2 linked regions of the Mus musculus genome follow. The protein of the gene in region 1 interacts with the protein of each later gene in a biochemical or structural test. Links are inferred from orthologs where the notes say so. Each region holds a gene or a part of one and is shown in the gene's direction. Other genes may lie near its edges.

What was found.
Region 2: the proteins of Dlg4 (region 1) and Net1 interact in a biophysical measurement, tested with the Homo sapiens proteins (2 studies listed by IntAct, with this or other methods). The link is inferred for Mus musculus from reciprocal best matches to the Homo sapiens genes DLG4 and NET1.

What each region holds. Positions count from the first base shown.
Region 1 is NC_000077.6:70,037,617-70,041,365, forward strand, and holds part of Dlg4 (disks large homolog 4 isoform 6 precursor), read left to right. Parts: intron 1-1,406; coding exon 1,407-1,702; intron 1,703-1,867; coding exon 1,868-1,970; intron 1,971-2,130; coding exon 2,131-2,245; intron 2,246-3,723; coding exon 3,724-3,749. UniProt on the Homo sapiens protein: Postsynaptic scaffolding protein that plays a critical role in synaptogenesis and synaptic plasticity by providing a platform for the postsynaptic clustering of crucial synaptic proteins.
Region 2 is NC_000079.6:3,915,421-3,919,634, reverse strand, and holds the start of Net1 (neuroepithelial cell-transforming gene 1 protein), read left to right. Parts: upstream 1-1,414; 5' UTR 1,415-1,569; coding exon 1,570-1,697; intron 1,698-4,214. UniProt on the Homo sapiens protein: Acts as a guanine nucleotide exchange factor (GEF) for RhoA GTPase. May be involved in activation of the SAPK/JNK pathway Stimulates genotoxic stress-induced RHOB activity in breast cancer cells leading to their cell death.

The sequences.
Region 1 (3,749 bases):
TCTGTAGACCTAGGTACTCAAAGGTGTGAAGTGGGAGGATCGATTGAGCTCAGCCAAGGCCCAAGGAACATAGATCTTTGAAAGTAAAACCAAAACCAAACTTGATCAGATGGACACAGGCTGGGGGTCTGTCATGCAGTGAATGTCCAGGCTGAGCAAAGCCTGTGTTCCCATCTTCATGACAAGATAACTTTCCATTGTTACCTTTGGAGGACGCTAGGTTATCTAGAGGCCTACCATTTCTTCCTGGAAACGTAAGCAAGGGAGAGAATCAGTCATCCACTCGCTCTCCTCTGTGTAAGCTTATCACAGAGTAAGCTCAAGGTGCTGGGCAGCAGTTCTTGTGTGCACGCGTGTGTGGGTCTGTATGTCTTCTTACCGTTTTTGTTTTGAGATAAGGTCTCATTATGTAGCCCAGGCTAGCTTCAAAGTCCTCATGTAACCCACGCCGGCCTTCGGTTTACAGCAGTGGGATAGTAGGCTCGAACACAGCACTCAGCAGGTCCTTTCTAAAAAATCTTATTAATGATTGTACAACATTAACACTTGGCAGTCTCTTTGAGCATCAGCCTTAGACACCATCCTGAATGCCTGCAAGGACTACGGAAGGAGCCTGATAGAACACGTTGTATGGGCAGGCCAGCCTGATGACCTCAGAACCTGCCAGTTCAAGAAAGACAGGCAGACAGGCCCCCACTTCCCCTTTCCTTTTGAGACAGGGTCTTACTATGTAACCCGGGCTGGCCTGGAACTCAATGTGCTTCGGCTGCCCCAGTGGATCTGAAGTGTGGGTACCACACCCAGCAGACTTCACTGCATTCTTTGGGAGGCACAGGACTCCACCCTGGGTGAACATTTTCACGTTGAATCTGAGCCTACTGAGCCTCTAGAACAAATCTGGGAAAACAAAAACGGTGCTGAGCTGGGCACAGGCTAAGCAAGACCACAGGGAAACGAGCAGACTGCTAGCCCTCAAAGAATGTGGGAAAATACTTTAGACAAATGACCCAATTAAAACAAAACCAAAACCAAAACCAACCAACCAAACAAACAAAAAAACCCCAACCACCCAACCAACAAACAGAAACCAGGAATGACTGGGCAAAGGGAGAGGAATACTGTGGATTGAGAGACCCGAGAGACACTTTAATCAGAAGGCAGTCTGAAAGAGCATGATGCTAATATTCCCCTGTTGTCCCCATTCCTGCCATACTAAAGACATACGACCTTCAGATCCCTTTGATGTCATCTGTAAACTTCTGACCCCTGCTGCTGCGGGTTACCCACAAACCTTTTCGGCAGAATAACTCCTCTTTGGCTGAGCCTGGCTCTGGGCTCCCTCTGGAGAGGGTGGAAGGGTGGGTACCACCGTCAAAGCGTTTTCATCTCACCCTGTCTCCCCTCAGCATATTCTCAGCACCTGGACAATGAGATCAGTCATAGCAGCTACTTGGGCACCGACTACCCCACAGCCATGACCCCCACTTCCCCTCGGCGCTACTCCCCCGTGGCCAAGGACCTGCTAGGGGAGGAAGATATTCCCCGGGAACCAAGGCGGATCGTGATCCATCGGGGCTCCACCGGCCTGGGCTTCAACATTGTGGGCGGCGAGGACGGTGAAGGCATCTTCATCTCCTTCATCCTTGCTGGGGGTCCAGCTGACCTCAGTGGGGAGCTACGGAAGGGGGACCAGATCCTGTCGGTGAGAGAGGCCCGTGCAAGGGTCTGCACTGCCCACCAAAGAGAGTCCTGTGCTCTTGGGGAGGGGCTCAATGGGCTCAAGCCAGGTCCGGTTGGACCACTCCCTGACTCACTGAGTCCCAAATTGTCTTCCCATCCCAGGTGACAGTGTCTTCTCCCTTTCTAGGTCAATGGTGTTGACCTCCGCAATGCCAGTCATGAACAGGCTGCCATTGCCCTGAAGAACGCGGGTCAGACGGTCACGATCATCGCTCAGTATAAACCAGAAGGTACCACGCCTAAGCTTCCCTGTCTTGTTGGCTAAGGTGGTCCTCAGCATTGTCTTTAGCTGATGGACGGACAGGTGGTCTCAGTAGGGGTAGGGTGAGGTTTGGCGGGGTGTGGCATTAGGATGGGGCAGAGTTCCAGAACCTTCTTGTCCTTTCTCAGAGTATAGCCGATTCGAGGCCAAGATCCATGATCTTCGGGAACAGCTTATGAATAGTAGCCTGGGCTCAGGGACTGCATCTCTGCGAAGCAACCCCAAGCGGGGCTTCTATATCAGGTAAGAAGCGTCCTTGGCGTGGCTCTGGAGGCCTCCATGAACTCCTGCCCATCCCCCACACAGCTCCTTCCCTAAATCTTGCCCTTCTCCTCTCCCACCCAGACGTGAGTGACCCTTAGCCATGGGTTCATAGACTTGGCTGCACACACTGGTCTTCTGGAGTATATTATCTGGTTGAAATTTAGTGCCTGCCCCAAGTGTTTGAATTGCCTTCTAGGTCCCGGTCACACAAGCACTAACCAATGGCTCTCAATGGTAGGGCCTAAGGCCAGTGTGTGACACAGCAGGCGTCTCTAGCTCTCTCTCTCTCCCTCCCTCCTCTCCTCCCTCCCTCCCTCCCTCCCTCCCTCCCTCCCTCCCTCCCTCCCTCCCTCCCTCCCTCCCTCCCTTATCCCCTAGGCTGAGTTTGAACCCCTGTGCTTTAATAATCTTCCTGCCATAGATACAGGCACTTGTCACCATGCCCAGCTTTGGGATATTTTGAGTCTTCCTCCAGCTTGGCACCCTTGTGGGAAGCCTCTGCGGAAGGACTGCAGCTCCTCTGTGCCCGCCGCCTGTCTTTCTTACTTCTTGCCCTTCCTTCCATCTCTGTGCTAGGGATTGAATCCAGGGCTCCGTACATGTTAGGCAGGCACCAAAACCACCGTTGAAAATCCACCTCAGCTCACCTCCCGACTGCTCAGTAGCATTTTCTCCCTTCTCGGGGCCTCTTTTCTCATGAGTCCCCTTCCTGTCTCTTCACAAGGCGTTGAGGTCTCGTCCCTCCCCTTCCCTGTCTCTCCCCTCCATCTGCTTTCTTTGTTCAGGTGGCTGGTCTTATCTGCCCTCTGCTATACTGGTGTCCCTGAGAGCTGTGTGGCCTGGTGGGATGCCTTCTTGGAGGTTCCAACCATTCTGGATGTTGCCTTTAGGCCATCTCCATTGGGTTGTCCACAGGCTTGTCACAGCCAACATGTCTTAGACTCAGCTTGCTGTGTTTCTCCTGGATGCCTGTGTTATGTCTTAGGGACCCACACCTAAGCGCTCCCTCTCTGTGGGAGGCTAGCAGGTGCTGGGGGTCATTTAGTTCTCACTGCATGACTCGGGGGCTTTTCTCCCCAGCCCCACTGCTTTTCTCTGCACCTTTGTTCTTTCAGAAACTTCCCAGAGCTTTTTGTCCTTAGACAGGTCTGGGATTGCTTACCGTGTGTGTGTGTGTGTGTGTGTGTGTGTGTGTGTGTGTGTGTGTGTGTGTGTGTGGGTGTGTGGGTGTGTGGGTGTGTGGGTGTGCATGTGTGTGTGTGTGCCACCCGGGAGGTTCATACTTTGCTTGCAGATCCCGTGTGTGTGTGTGTGTGTGTGTGTGTGTGTGCCACCGGGAGGTTCATACTTTGCTTGCAGATCCCTTGTCCAGAATCTGGCTGGCTCTCGGGGTGCCTGGTGAATCTTTCCTGGGGTCTTCAGCCAGGCCCTGACCCATAGTCACTTGTGTTATCCAGGGCCCTGTTTGACTACGACAAGACCA
Region 2 (4,214 bases), on another chromosome or scaffold:
TTGTCATGGTTTGAATATGCTTGGCCCAGGGAGTGGCACTGTTTGGAGGCATGGCCTTGTTGGAGTAAGTGTGTCACTGTGGGTGTGAGCTTGAATACCCTTGTTCTATCTGCCTGGAAGCCAGTATTCTGCTAGCAGCCTTCAGATGAAGATATAGAACTCTCAGCTCTTCCTGTACCATGCCTGCCTGGATGCTGCCATGTTCCTGCCTTGATGATAATGGACTGAATCTGTATTCCAGCCCCAATTAAATATTGTCCTTATAAGGGCTGTCTCTTTCATGGTGTCTGTTCACAGCAGTAAAACCCTAAAACAGAATTTTTCTAAATTGACATAAAACTAGCCATCATTGTTCTATATTTCATATTTTATGCTTTCAGTTAAAATCACAATGTTTTGTTTTACTATATACCTCTTATTTTTAATTTTCTTTTATTTTCAAGATTATAATATAATCACACCATTTTCTCCCTTCTCTTTTCTCCTTCCCAACTCTCTCCTATACCCCTTCTTGCTATCTTTCACATTCATGGACTCTTTTTATTAATTATTGTTACATAGTCAATATGTAACAATATGTTATACATATATGTTCCTAAATACACAAATACAGCCAGCTCAGTCTGTATGATGTTATTTGTATGTTTTCAGGGCTAGCTGTTAGTATTGGCTAACCAATGGTATTCCCTGAAGAAGACCATTTCTTTATCGGCTGAATGCAGTCTTCACAGTTAATCAGTTATATTTAGACATCTCCCAGTCATTCATTTAGATTGCCTTTAATTTTTCTATTATACACAACATCATTAATATCTCCCTGTATACAAGAGAGACTACATTTAAGACCATTAGCGATATTTAAAATCAGAGAACGTTTTTATTTACCAATCTTCACATAATAACCTGAGCAGGGTCCCTTGTTTCATGCTGCACGTTTTGCAGTCTTGCAAGCAGAGAAAGCAGCCCTTTCCATTCGGTAAAGCGACTGTGTCCTACTTACTGAAAGACAGGAGTACATAACTAGATTTCACTGGTTCTCTAGAGACATCCTGGAGAACAAAGTATTGTCTTTGGCAATTGGGAATATATTCCACATGTATAACTTAGTGTTTATACGTCCAACTGCCTCTTGCTTTGGGGTCAATACCTTCATCCTGTCTAACGCTAAACAACAACAAATGATAAACAGCTTCCGATCCATTTTCCTGCCCTGCAAGTGAAAGTTCTAGTGAATAGAGACTGCCTTTCAGGAGTAAGGTGTGTAGTTAAAATAAATCCCCAAATTCCTAACTTTCACCTTACCACTTTCCCTTTGTCACTGGAGCTCCTAAAAGTTTGGTATGAAGTCTTCTGATTAGGGCGGGACTCCACGTAGCCTAGCAACCGCTTCCCACTCTCTGATTGGCCGATCTCTGGGCAGCCGCCATTTTCAAATCCCCGGATGACGGCGGTAGCCGCTCTCTGCTAGAAGGCGACTTGCTGCCTCGCAGAAGCTGGCGGGCATTGTGCCCGCCACGATCGGTCTCCTGGGCACTGGGCCACCGCCCCACCAACCCCCCTTCTCCGGACATGGAGCCAGAGCCGGCGGCTCAGAAGCAGCCCCGACCTCGGAGGAGAAGCCGCAGGGTCTCAATGCTCAGCGAGGAACCTGCCGCGGGGCTTCCGGCCGACACACCCGGGCCGGCGGCGAACGAGAGGTGAGGGTGGCGGGAGGTGGGTGAGAGCCGGGGACCGAGTCTGGAGACTCAGGACGGGATGGACTGGACGGTGGGTGACCAAGGACTGGCAGTGCAGTAGGGGAGGTTGGGGAAGGCCGGGCAGAAATGCCGCGGGAGGAGAGTGCGCTGCCCGGCGGGCTGCACCGAGGGCTGCACAGCGACTGCTCGGCCCTGCGTAGAAGGGGTGGACTCGTTGGACTTGTTGACAATCTCCTTTAACCCCGTCCCTGGGGAACCGTACATCTGCACCAGAGCTGTTCTCTACCAGAAACTAGTTGTGGATGCAGGCGCTCAGATCAAGACTGTCGTGGACCCTGTGATGAGAAGAGGAATTGTCACCTGAACAGATACCAACCCTTTCAGCCTAAAAGCGGCTGTTCAAATGAAATGTCCTTTGCAGACCAGAACAGGACAGGCTCCTGGAATGAAGAGATCAGAGAAAGACTCTTTCTGGCTTTTCAGTTATTAGCACATTTTCACATTCTGTGTTGTATCTTCATTTCTATGTGTCTGGGAAAGGCAAACACTAGGTTGATTTCAGAAATCTGTGTCTGGAAGAGAGGCTGTGGGAGTCATAATATTTTTATTAAATAGGAAATTGAAATGGCATTTGTCTGGACTACTCTGTCATTCTTTTGCCCTTCGAAATATGAGAAATGGTCTCAAAGTACTGAATGCAATGGTTTCCCATTATAACGTTAGACATTGAGTTACAAAGTATGTAACTTTGTTCAAATCTACGTCTACATAGTGAGTTTATGATAGTGTCTGCCTCATATAAGGCACTGTGTGAACATCAGTACTTATCATGGGCCTCGGCAGAAAACTCGGCAGAAATCTTGTCTGTCAGTTTTAAATCTGTTAAAGTAACAGTGCTGTGTCTGCTCCATCTTTTCAGACATCCCCATGGTCCACTTGACATGATTTCAGGGTTTTTTTGGTTTTGTTTCTGAGACAAGTTCTCACTGTGTAACTTGGTTACCCCAGAACTCACTACCTGTGTAGAGACGCTGGCCACAAACTCATATTGTACTTCTGTACCAGAGCTGTTCTCCATGGAAACTGGTGGACTGTAGGTGGTCTTACATCCATAGGACTATTGGTGAGAAGAGGAATTGTCACCAAGCAGGCTCCAAACCGTTCTGCCTAAAAACTGGTCTTTCTTCCTTAGCCTCCCCCTGTTCTCGGATTGCAGTGTGAACCTCGACGCCCAGGTCATTTGATAGGATGTTAAATTAATCTTTTATATAGCTTATAATCTAATCATGACAAATGGTTTTGAGGAAAAAGCAAACACCTTACTTTCATTATCAAGGCATGGGCAAACCCATTGTATTAAGTAACTCTATAAAGAGCTAGATTCTTTCAGTTAGTACTGATTTTTATGAGTTTGAAGTTTAAGGCAATATTTACCAGAATTCTTGCCTTCTGAAACTTCCTCTCTTCCAATCAGACCGTGTGTTTAAGAAGTCAGAGTGCAGAAAGAAGGCATCTTTGAGACTGAGAATTACAAGAATTAGGATGGGCTAGTGAAGGAGCAGAAAAGGAGGACTTCCTGAAGATGAACAGAAGCAGTGCTTCATTCCACGTGTGCTCAGTGTAATACAGTTGCACCTGCCCTAGCATCAGACACTGTTGAGGATGATGGGGATTCAGGTGAACAAAAGCAGATGGAGCGCTTGCTCTCAGGAACCTTAGATTCTCTTGGGAGGCGTTGGTCACATCATGCAGTGAATTTAAGCCTTTTTGATTCTGTGCAGAAGAGGAAAGATTCTAGGGCCCAGAGTTGGTAGATGACTCCAAGGAAACAGTATCCTCCAGACATAAGAGCACTGATGCACATCTAAACTTACAGAGATTGAAGGAATGCACAAGACCTGCAACAGGTTCAAACCAGACAAGATCCTAGCACTGAGAATGGGAGAGTTGACACACCATCCCACTCAGAACCAAGAAGCTGTTTGCAATTGATACCTCCTGGGAAAAGGAAAATTGTTGTTTTGTTTTGTTCCAGTGGAGTATTGGTATATCAACCACACTCCAGAGCAAGGCCCATGCCCAGGTGTCTTGGTCACTGATCCATTTTTGTGAAGAGACACCATAATCGAGGCAAAACTTAAAGAAAAGGTTTAACTGAGCCTGGCTTACAGTTTCAGAGGGTAGTCCATTATTATCATCATCATGGGACGCATGTAAGCAGACATGGTGCTAGAGAAGTAGCCAGAGCGCTTTATCCCCATCTGCAGGCAGAAGACAGTCTGACAGGGCCTGGCATGGGCTTTTGAAACCCCAAAATTCATCCCCAGTGACATACTCCTTCAACAAGGCCACACCTCTTAATCCTTCTAATCCTTTTCAAGAGTTTGCATTCAAATATATAAGCCTATAGGTGTTGTCTTATTTTCAAAACTTACTTTAATAAGGGTTCTTAAATGCTTCAACCTCCATTCTAACCTACCACCCACCAGAAGTAATGAAAAGGTTAATAGGGCAAAG